Oryctolagus cuniculus: one gene and its partner. Each later gene encodes a partner of the first gene's protein in a complex. Links are inferred from orthologs where the notes say so. Each region holds a gene or a part of one and is shown on either strand. Other genes may lie near its edges.

Region 1 (3,648 bases):
GAACTTTCCAGAAGCCTGCTCTCTTCACTGTAAGATCCACATGTGCAGTCCATCCATGTCCTAAACGAGTGCAGCAGGCTGATGTCACTAACTACCAGCTCCTTTCTAAAACACTCAATTAGTTCTGGAGCTACCATCAGCCTTTGTTCTGTTACCACCCTATCAATTTAAAAAAGAACATTTTACTTATTTGAAAAGCAGAGTGACAGAGAGAAGGGAAAGAGAGAGAGAGACTGAGTTCTCCCCGCTGGTTCACTCCCCATCCGGTTGCAATGGCAGGGGCTGAGCCAGGGCGAAGCCTGAGGCCAGGAACTCCAGCTGGAACTCCCACACGTGTGGGAAGGGCCCAAGTACTTGGACCATCTTCCGCTACTTTCCCAGCTGCATTAGAGGGAGCTGGATCAGAAGCAGAGCAGCCAGGACTTGAACCAGTAGTCTACGATGGGATGCCAGTGTCCCAAGCCATGGCTTAACCACTGTGCCACAATGCCAGCCTCCTTTTTCAGACCTCTGTGGCTTCCTCTTTGTCCCACATCCATGAGGAGTAACAACTGCTTTCTTCTCTTCTCAGCCTATATACGTCCCTTGGAGACTCCTGACACTTCCCATGACACCAACACTACTACTACAATTAAACCTACTACAATTAAACTTCCCACACAACAACTAGGGGGTTCTGCCATGAAACCAAACTCACTAAGCACCTGTCTCCTAATGGATTTCCACACAGCTGTGGCCCAGGGAGGAAAAGTGGTGGGGTCAGGCCAAGGTTCCTAGTCAGAGACAGCTCTCTTTTCCCCAGTAAGAGACTTGCTTAATTTACTCTGTAGATCATGAAGTCAACTTAAGTGAATTTCTCTTCCTTATAACCAGGAGCGTAACGACAACACAGGGTCTTCTCAGTTCTTCATTTGTAATATGCCCAACGTCTGCTCCTTTCTCTAGATCCTCACATTATTATGCTTAAGACCACGGTCACCCAGCTTCCACTTTCTCATCACACAACACTACGACTGCACTGACCACAGGCTTCTCCTGCTCTAACATTATCGAAGATTCTTCAGGAAGTACCCAAGAAAGGCCAAGGCGGGGTCCTGCAACATCACACTCTTTGGGAAATGACCTAAAAGGCATGTTCCATCCTGATACCCCCGCAGCTCCCTGACATTACTCTCATCTCCAAACACAAAACCGCTCACCGTGGACTAATTAAACGTACCCCTTCGCTCTTCTGGGCCTTCATCATTCACTCCTTCCTGAAATGCCCACCCGCTGGACGCCTGCATGCCCTGGCTCACTGATGTCTCCACCATGCGGCTCTCCTGACTCCCCAAGTTAAGGAACCACCCTTGGCCATGCGCCATCCTGTGATCTGCTCTCACATTCTGTTCTTCTCCCTCCTACCAGAAGGCTCCATGCTACAGACTTTGCCATCAGTCATGATCCTCATGACAGTCACTCAGTCCAGGAAATATTTGGACAAATGGATAACCAATAACTACACTAAAAAGGGACATTTATCAAAATTATAAAAGCAGACCTGTGGCCCGGAAAGGCAGTGGAGGATGGCCCAAGTACTTGGGCCCTGTACCCACATGGGAGACCAGGAGGAAGCACCCAGATCCTGGCTTCAGATTGGCGCAGCGCACTGGCCATAGCGGCCATTTAGGGGGTGAACCAACAGAAAAGGAAGACCTTTCTCTCTGTCTCTCTCTCTAACTCTGCCTGTCAAAAAAAAAATTTATAAAAGCAAACTAACTTCAATCTGCTTAGAGTTTCTTCAGTGCTTTTTTGAATATGGTTGATTGAATAGCTTAACACATCCCAACTGTGCCAGAGAACCATCCTCATAACAACGAGAGCTATAAATAGTGCTTACAGTGGTCGCTGGAAATCCAAGACTCCAATACTCCTACTCTAGTGGTTCTCAATGATTTTGTGCCCTTCTTTGTCCTTCTTCCCTGCAAACATCTGGCGATGCCTGGATGTCACAGCGTGGAGGGAAGGAAGCACCTGTCACCAGCACCGAGTGGGAAGGGGCTGGGGATGCTGCTCAGTGGCTGCAGTGCACAGGACAACTGTCCCACTCCCCACGGCCAAGGAACTACCCAGGCTTCATAAATACCACTGCTGAAAGCGTGAGACATTCTGACGTAGTTAAGGTAAGGCAGACTATAAGAGTTTGTAATAGAATAACCAGAGAAAAGATTTTATTTAAACAATTTAGGTGATTAAAATGATGAGCTGTGGGGTGGGCACTGTGATGCCGGGCTAGCTGCAGACTGAACTGGGGTGCCTGGGATCAAGGCCCGTACCCGCTTTCCATCCAGCGCCCTGTTAACATGCCTGGGAGGCGAGAGAGGATGGTCCAGGTACTTGGGTTCCCACCACCCACCTGGGAGATCTGGGTGGAGTTCCTGACTCTTGGCTTTGCCCTGGCCTAGCCTCAGCTGCTATAGACATTTGGAGAGTGAACCAGAAAAATGCATCTCTCTCTCTCTCTCTCTCTCTCTCTCCCTGTCACCCTACCTTTCAAATAATTAACTAAATAGACCTTTAAATAAAAAAAAAAGTCTGTGGCTCTATCTAACATTCACATAATAAAGTATTACCAAAATAAGATATGACAATTAAATCTTTATCTATTATCTTCATTATCATAGTACAAAATGAAAAACAAAGAACATGCCCTAATTAAAAAGGCACTCACCTTCAATACATCCCAGTATGCCACATTATTATTTGTATCTTTGGTTAATATATGTCTCTTATCATTAAGAATGTGGCACTGAATAATACTGGCACCCCCTACAGGAAAAATAAAAACACAATTAGCACAATGATCCTTCTGCATTTAAAGTCATGGTGTGCTACCTGGCCTGCACAGGATCACACCCGTCAGAAGGGAAAACCCGAAGACTGCACAACTAACCCAAGGCGCGTCACTTTCGCTTTCCTCTTCCTTCTTTTTGCAGGCTCCTGAATGGATTCTATGCTAATGATGCCTACACAGACACCTCAACTAGGGAGGAAGGTGGATGCAAGATTCTAATCCCAAGCTAGGATATCAAACACAGCCTGGCTTTTTGTTTTGTTTTTTTGCCACAACCAGCTGTAGCGTGTAGAACTTAAAGACCACATCTGTCCTTTCCTGGCTATGCCAAAAAACAACATGAAGACCTTCTATAAAGTCGCTGTTGGCTTTACCATGGCTATTCTGACACTGGGCAAAAAACAAGACAAAAAACCTAACTCAAGAAAGCCCATTTTAAAGTGCCCAAGCACCTAAAGTCACTAAATATTTTAAAATAACTTTTTTCTTGTACTAAAATAAATACATGATTAGCCTTTAGTTTACATCTAAATTATATTAAAAGAAATCTTCATTCCTGTTGTTCTGTTAGTAACAATAAACTCCAATCAAAGTACACTACTTCTAATTTCCTTACCTTTAATAACCTGGTCAGGCTGCGTGCAAAGGGGCGTTATAGGGTTTGTGCAGTCATTGTCGTAATCTCCTGATGCTCTGAAATTATGGATTCCTTTCAACGTCTAAAGGAACAAAATTTGTTATTTAGTTGGTTTTGCTCTTCAAGTTTTGCCAGCTTGCTTAAAGGGGCAGGAAATATAAAGTTAAAGAAAAGACAA
Region 2 (3,648 bases), on another chromosome or scaffold:
CCAAATGCTTTCATAATAATCAACACAGCAAATATATTCAATTAATCTCAGAAATGACTGACTTCGCAAAATCTATCTAGGCACCATTTTTTACCAACCACCCTTCATCCCCATACACAAAGGAAAGGAAAAGAAAAAACCCACAGATGTGAAAGTCCTAGGAACTCAGATGCAATATTCAGAGAGAGTTAAACAGTAAGAATACAAATCAAGGTAGTAATGTTTTAATATATAACACTTTAAGGAAGCAATGATGTAAAGGTGTATCTGAAAAGTCCTTTTGGAAATGAACTCACTTTTCCAAAAGCTTGACATGCAAATCACTAGCGAACATCCTGCATGTGCACTGGCCCTACTAAGCTAGAAATTCCACCACATCCTAAGAGTTGCAATTACCTTCCACAGTGAACCACAACAGCAACAAGGTCGTACATCCTGTCAGGATTGGTTGCATCGCCTGACGTGTTAAACAGACGAAGCTCTAAAGGAAAAACTACCCGATAAGAAAGTTTTGTATATCGATGAAGTTGATCCATATACTTAAATCTCTTCAGGTGTAGAGCTAGAATCATGGGCAGTTTTTTAACTTTCATCCTATAAAAATAAAAATAAAAAAGTCATAAAAGACATCCACACTGTGTCTTAAAAAGAATCATCAAAATTTATGACATCTAATTAGTAGTTAATCATCACTTTTAATAACCCAACACTGTCTGTTTTTATATATTTCTACCAGTTATTATTTTTTTTTGAGAGGGAGAGAATGGGAAGGAAGGGGAGAGTGGTGAGAGAAATAGAGTGTGTATGTGTGTAAGAGAAATATGAATGAACCCATCCACTGGTTCTCTCCCCAAATGACCACAACAGTCAGGGCTGGGCCAGGCAAAAGCCAGAAGCCAAGAACTCAATTCATGTCTCCCATGTCGGTGGTAAGGACCCAAGTGCTTGATCCATCACCTGCTGCCTCCCAAGGTGCAAATTAGCAGGAAGCTGGAATTGGGAGTGAAGCTAGGACTTGAACTTAGGTATTCTGATATGAGGTGTGGGTACCTAAGTGGCGTCTTTAAAAATTTTTTAATTTACTTTTTTATTTGAAAGGCAGAAATAAAGAGATAAAAATCTTCCATCCACTGGTTCACTTCCCAATGCCAGCAACAGCCAGGGCGTGGCAAGGTAGAAACCACAAGTCAGGAACTCAATCGAGGTGACCTTTGGGTAGCAGAGTCCCAATTACTTAAACCATCATCTGCTGTCTCCTGGGGAACCTCTCAGAAGCTGGAATTGAAGTGGAGCCAGGACTTAAATCCATTCGCTCTGATACGGGATGCAAGCATCCCAATTAGGCCAAACATCCAAATAATATTTTTACAGTGGCAAGGCAACATTCTGAGTATTGTAAGACCAAATCACCTATCAGGACCAAATAACATAACATGACCCCACACTCAATAAATATTTTCAGAGAAAGAAAGAATGGCATCAGTCCTTTGTTAAGAAATCTGTATTTTTCCAACACAGATCCTTCATGCCAAGACTAAATGGACGTGACGTCCAGGGACAGTGGAGGAGAAAATGGGTTCCATGAAACTGCCAAGCCCTTTGGATGTGAGTGTAGACGGAAGCCCACTTATTCTACCAATCTACATAATGCAAAAATAGACTGACAACAGAAGATTGAAAAAACAAAAAGCATAAAATATCAGTCAACTAAGGATGTTCACCAGGTAGGCACAGCAGCTATATCTATCCTAGAAAGAGAATTAAAATTGGCTGGAAATTCAGGAGTTCAGTATTTAATTGTGCTACCTTTCACGCTGCAAATAATCTTTACTACACCCAGAAGTGCTCCATCTCCCTGAGAGGGACTCAGCACCTACATCACCTGAAACAGTCTAGTCTTCCTTTCAGGGCTCGGTACAAAAGTTACTCCCTCTTCAGTCCTCCATCAGCGCGTCACAGGCTCCCTACAGACACTGAGCTTATTACACAGCAAGTATTTAGGTGATCGGGGTCTTTCTCTTCTAGACTCTCAACTCTTTGGCAGGCAGAAAACATTTCCTTCATTTTTACTTCTCCACGGTCCTGCAATAGGCCTGGCATGTGATAGGTATTTGCTAAATGTTGCAGAAGTGATTTTAACATGGGTTCAGTGAAGCAAAGTACTTCTCACAATTAAAATAATTAAATTTATGGGCCGGTGCTGTGGTGTAGCAGGTAAAGCCGCTGCCTGTGGTGCTGGCATCCCACAGGAGTGCTGGTTCAAGTCTCAGCTGCTCCTTATCTGATCCAGCTCTCTGCTATGCCCTGGGAAAGCAGTAGAAGATGGCCAGCTGCTTGGGCCCATGTTCCCACATGGGAGACCCTGAAGAAGCTCCTGGCTCCTGGCTCCTGGCTTCGGATCAGCTCAGCTCCAGCTGCTGTGGCCATTTCGGGAGTGAATCAGTGGATGGAAGACCCTTCTCTTGGTCTCTACCTCTCAAATAAATAAATAAAATTTACTAAGACACTGTCACTAATACACTAATACACTAAAAATAAATAAAATTTACTAAGACACTGCCACTAATACACTAATACACTAAAATAAAAATTAAATAAAAAATAAATAAAAGACACTGCCACTAATACACTGAAAATAAAAATCATTCTACAACATGATACTAAATCTGTATTCTACAGATCTGAGATGTGGTGGGCAGCTCACTGCCCCTGAAATATTTACAATACAACTAGCCTGGCCTTTGAAAAACAAGGACCAAAAGGAAAGTAAGTGATCATTCCTGGAAACACATTTAGCAATGTGAATGAAGGACCTTTATGGCCTTTGTCTCAGTAATACCATTTCTATAAATCCACATTAAACACAACATCTCAAAGATAGAACTTTTGAGAAAATCTACTTCTAGAGTTATTTTATATTGTAAAAAATCCTAACTATTCAACAACAGGAAATGTTGAAATAAATCATAATACAGAGATAATGTAATTATGATAGGCATTCCTTAGGAGTGTTCAAGTTCTGGCTGCTCCACTTCCAATTTAGCTCCCTGCTAATGTGCAGAAAAAGATGTTCCAACTGCATGGGCCCCTGCCACCCACACAGGAGATCTGGATGGAGCTCCAGAATCCTGGCTTCAGCACAGCCCACTCCTGGCCATAAAGGCTACTTGAGGAATGAACCAGCAGATGAAAGACCTCTTTCTGTCTGTCCCTCTGTAACTCTGCCTTTCAAATAAATGAAATCATTTAAAAATAACAACAGTCATATATATTTGTGTATGTGTGTGTGTGTGTGTGTGTGTGTATATATTTACTAATTCAACTTTAAACATTAGATCTTCAATTGACCCCATGAAGGGCTGCTGAAGTAAAATTTTTACAGAACAGCAAAGTGTCCTTTAAAAATTCCCAATGGAAGTGTAGGTAGAGAAGGCGAATTTTCTGTACTAGTATAATACGTGTTGTCACCGTGTAACAGGTAGCAGTTTTTTAAGGCAGGGGAAAGGCGAGGGAATGAGTTGGCCTCAGAATTAGGACAAATGCACTTTCAGAAATTAAACATGAGTGGGGCTAGGGGAGGTGAGAGCAAAGATCTAAATGAGAACATGTAAAATATGTTTGATCAGACAACACACACAGAATATGAGT

Evidence for each region. Proteins that work in one complex are often made in the same cells at the same time.
Region 2: the proteins of WDR48 (region 1) and USP12 are in contact, whole or in part, in a crystal structure (PDB 5K1C), measured with the Homo sapiens proteins. The link is inferred for Oryctolagus cuniculus from reciprocal best matches to the Homo sapiens genes WDR48 and USP12. Residues at the interface, in NP_065890.1 of Homo sapiens: Arg50, Trp77, Asp118, Tyr119, Lys121, Leu137, Ser170, Tyr172, Thr188, Asp211, Asn212, Lys214, Ser230, Gly254, Trp256, Arg272, Ile363, Ile364, Leu424, Lys425; in NP_872294.2 of Homo sapiens: Arg185, Leu187, Thr188, Cys189, Glu190, Thr191, Ser227, Lys230, Cys236, Arg237, Ser238, Lys239, Gln240, Glu241, His243.

The regions. Positions count from the first base shown.
Region 1 is NC_091441.1:108,262,896-108,266,543, forward strand, and holds part of WDR48 (WD repeat-containing protein 48), read right to left. Parts: intron 3,553-3,648; coding exon 3,450-3,552; intron 2,809-3,449; coding exon 2,711-2,808; intron 1-2,710. UniProt on the Homo sapiens protein: Regulator of deubiquitinating complexes, which acts as a strong activator of USP1, USP12 and USP46. Enhances the USP1-mediated deubiquitination of FANCD2; USP1 being almost inactive by itself.
Region 2 is NC_091440.1:87,430,238-87,433,885, reverse strand, and holds part of USP12 (ubiquitin carboxyl-terminal hydrolase 12), read right to left. Parts: intron 595-3,648; coding exon 397-594; intron 1-396. UniProt on the Homo sapiens protein: Deubiquitinating enzyme that plays various roles in the regulation of the immune response and inflammation.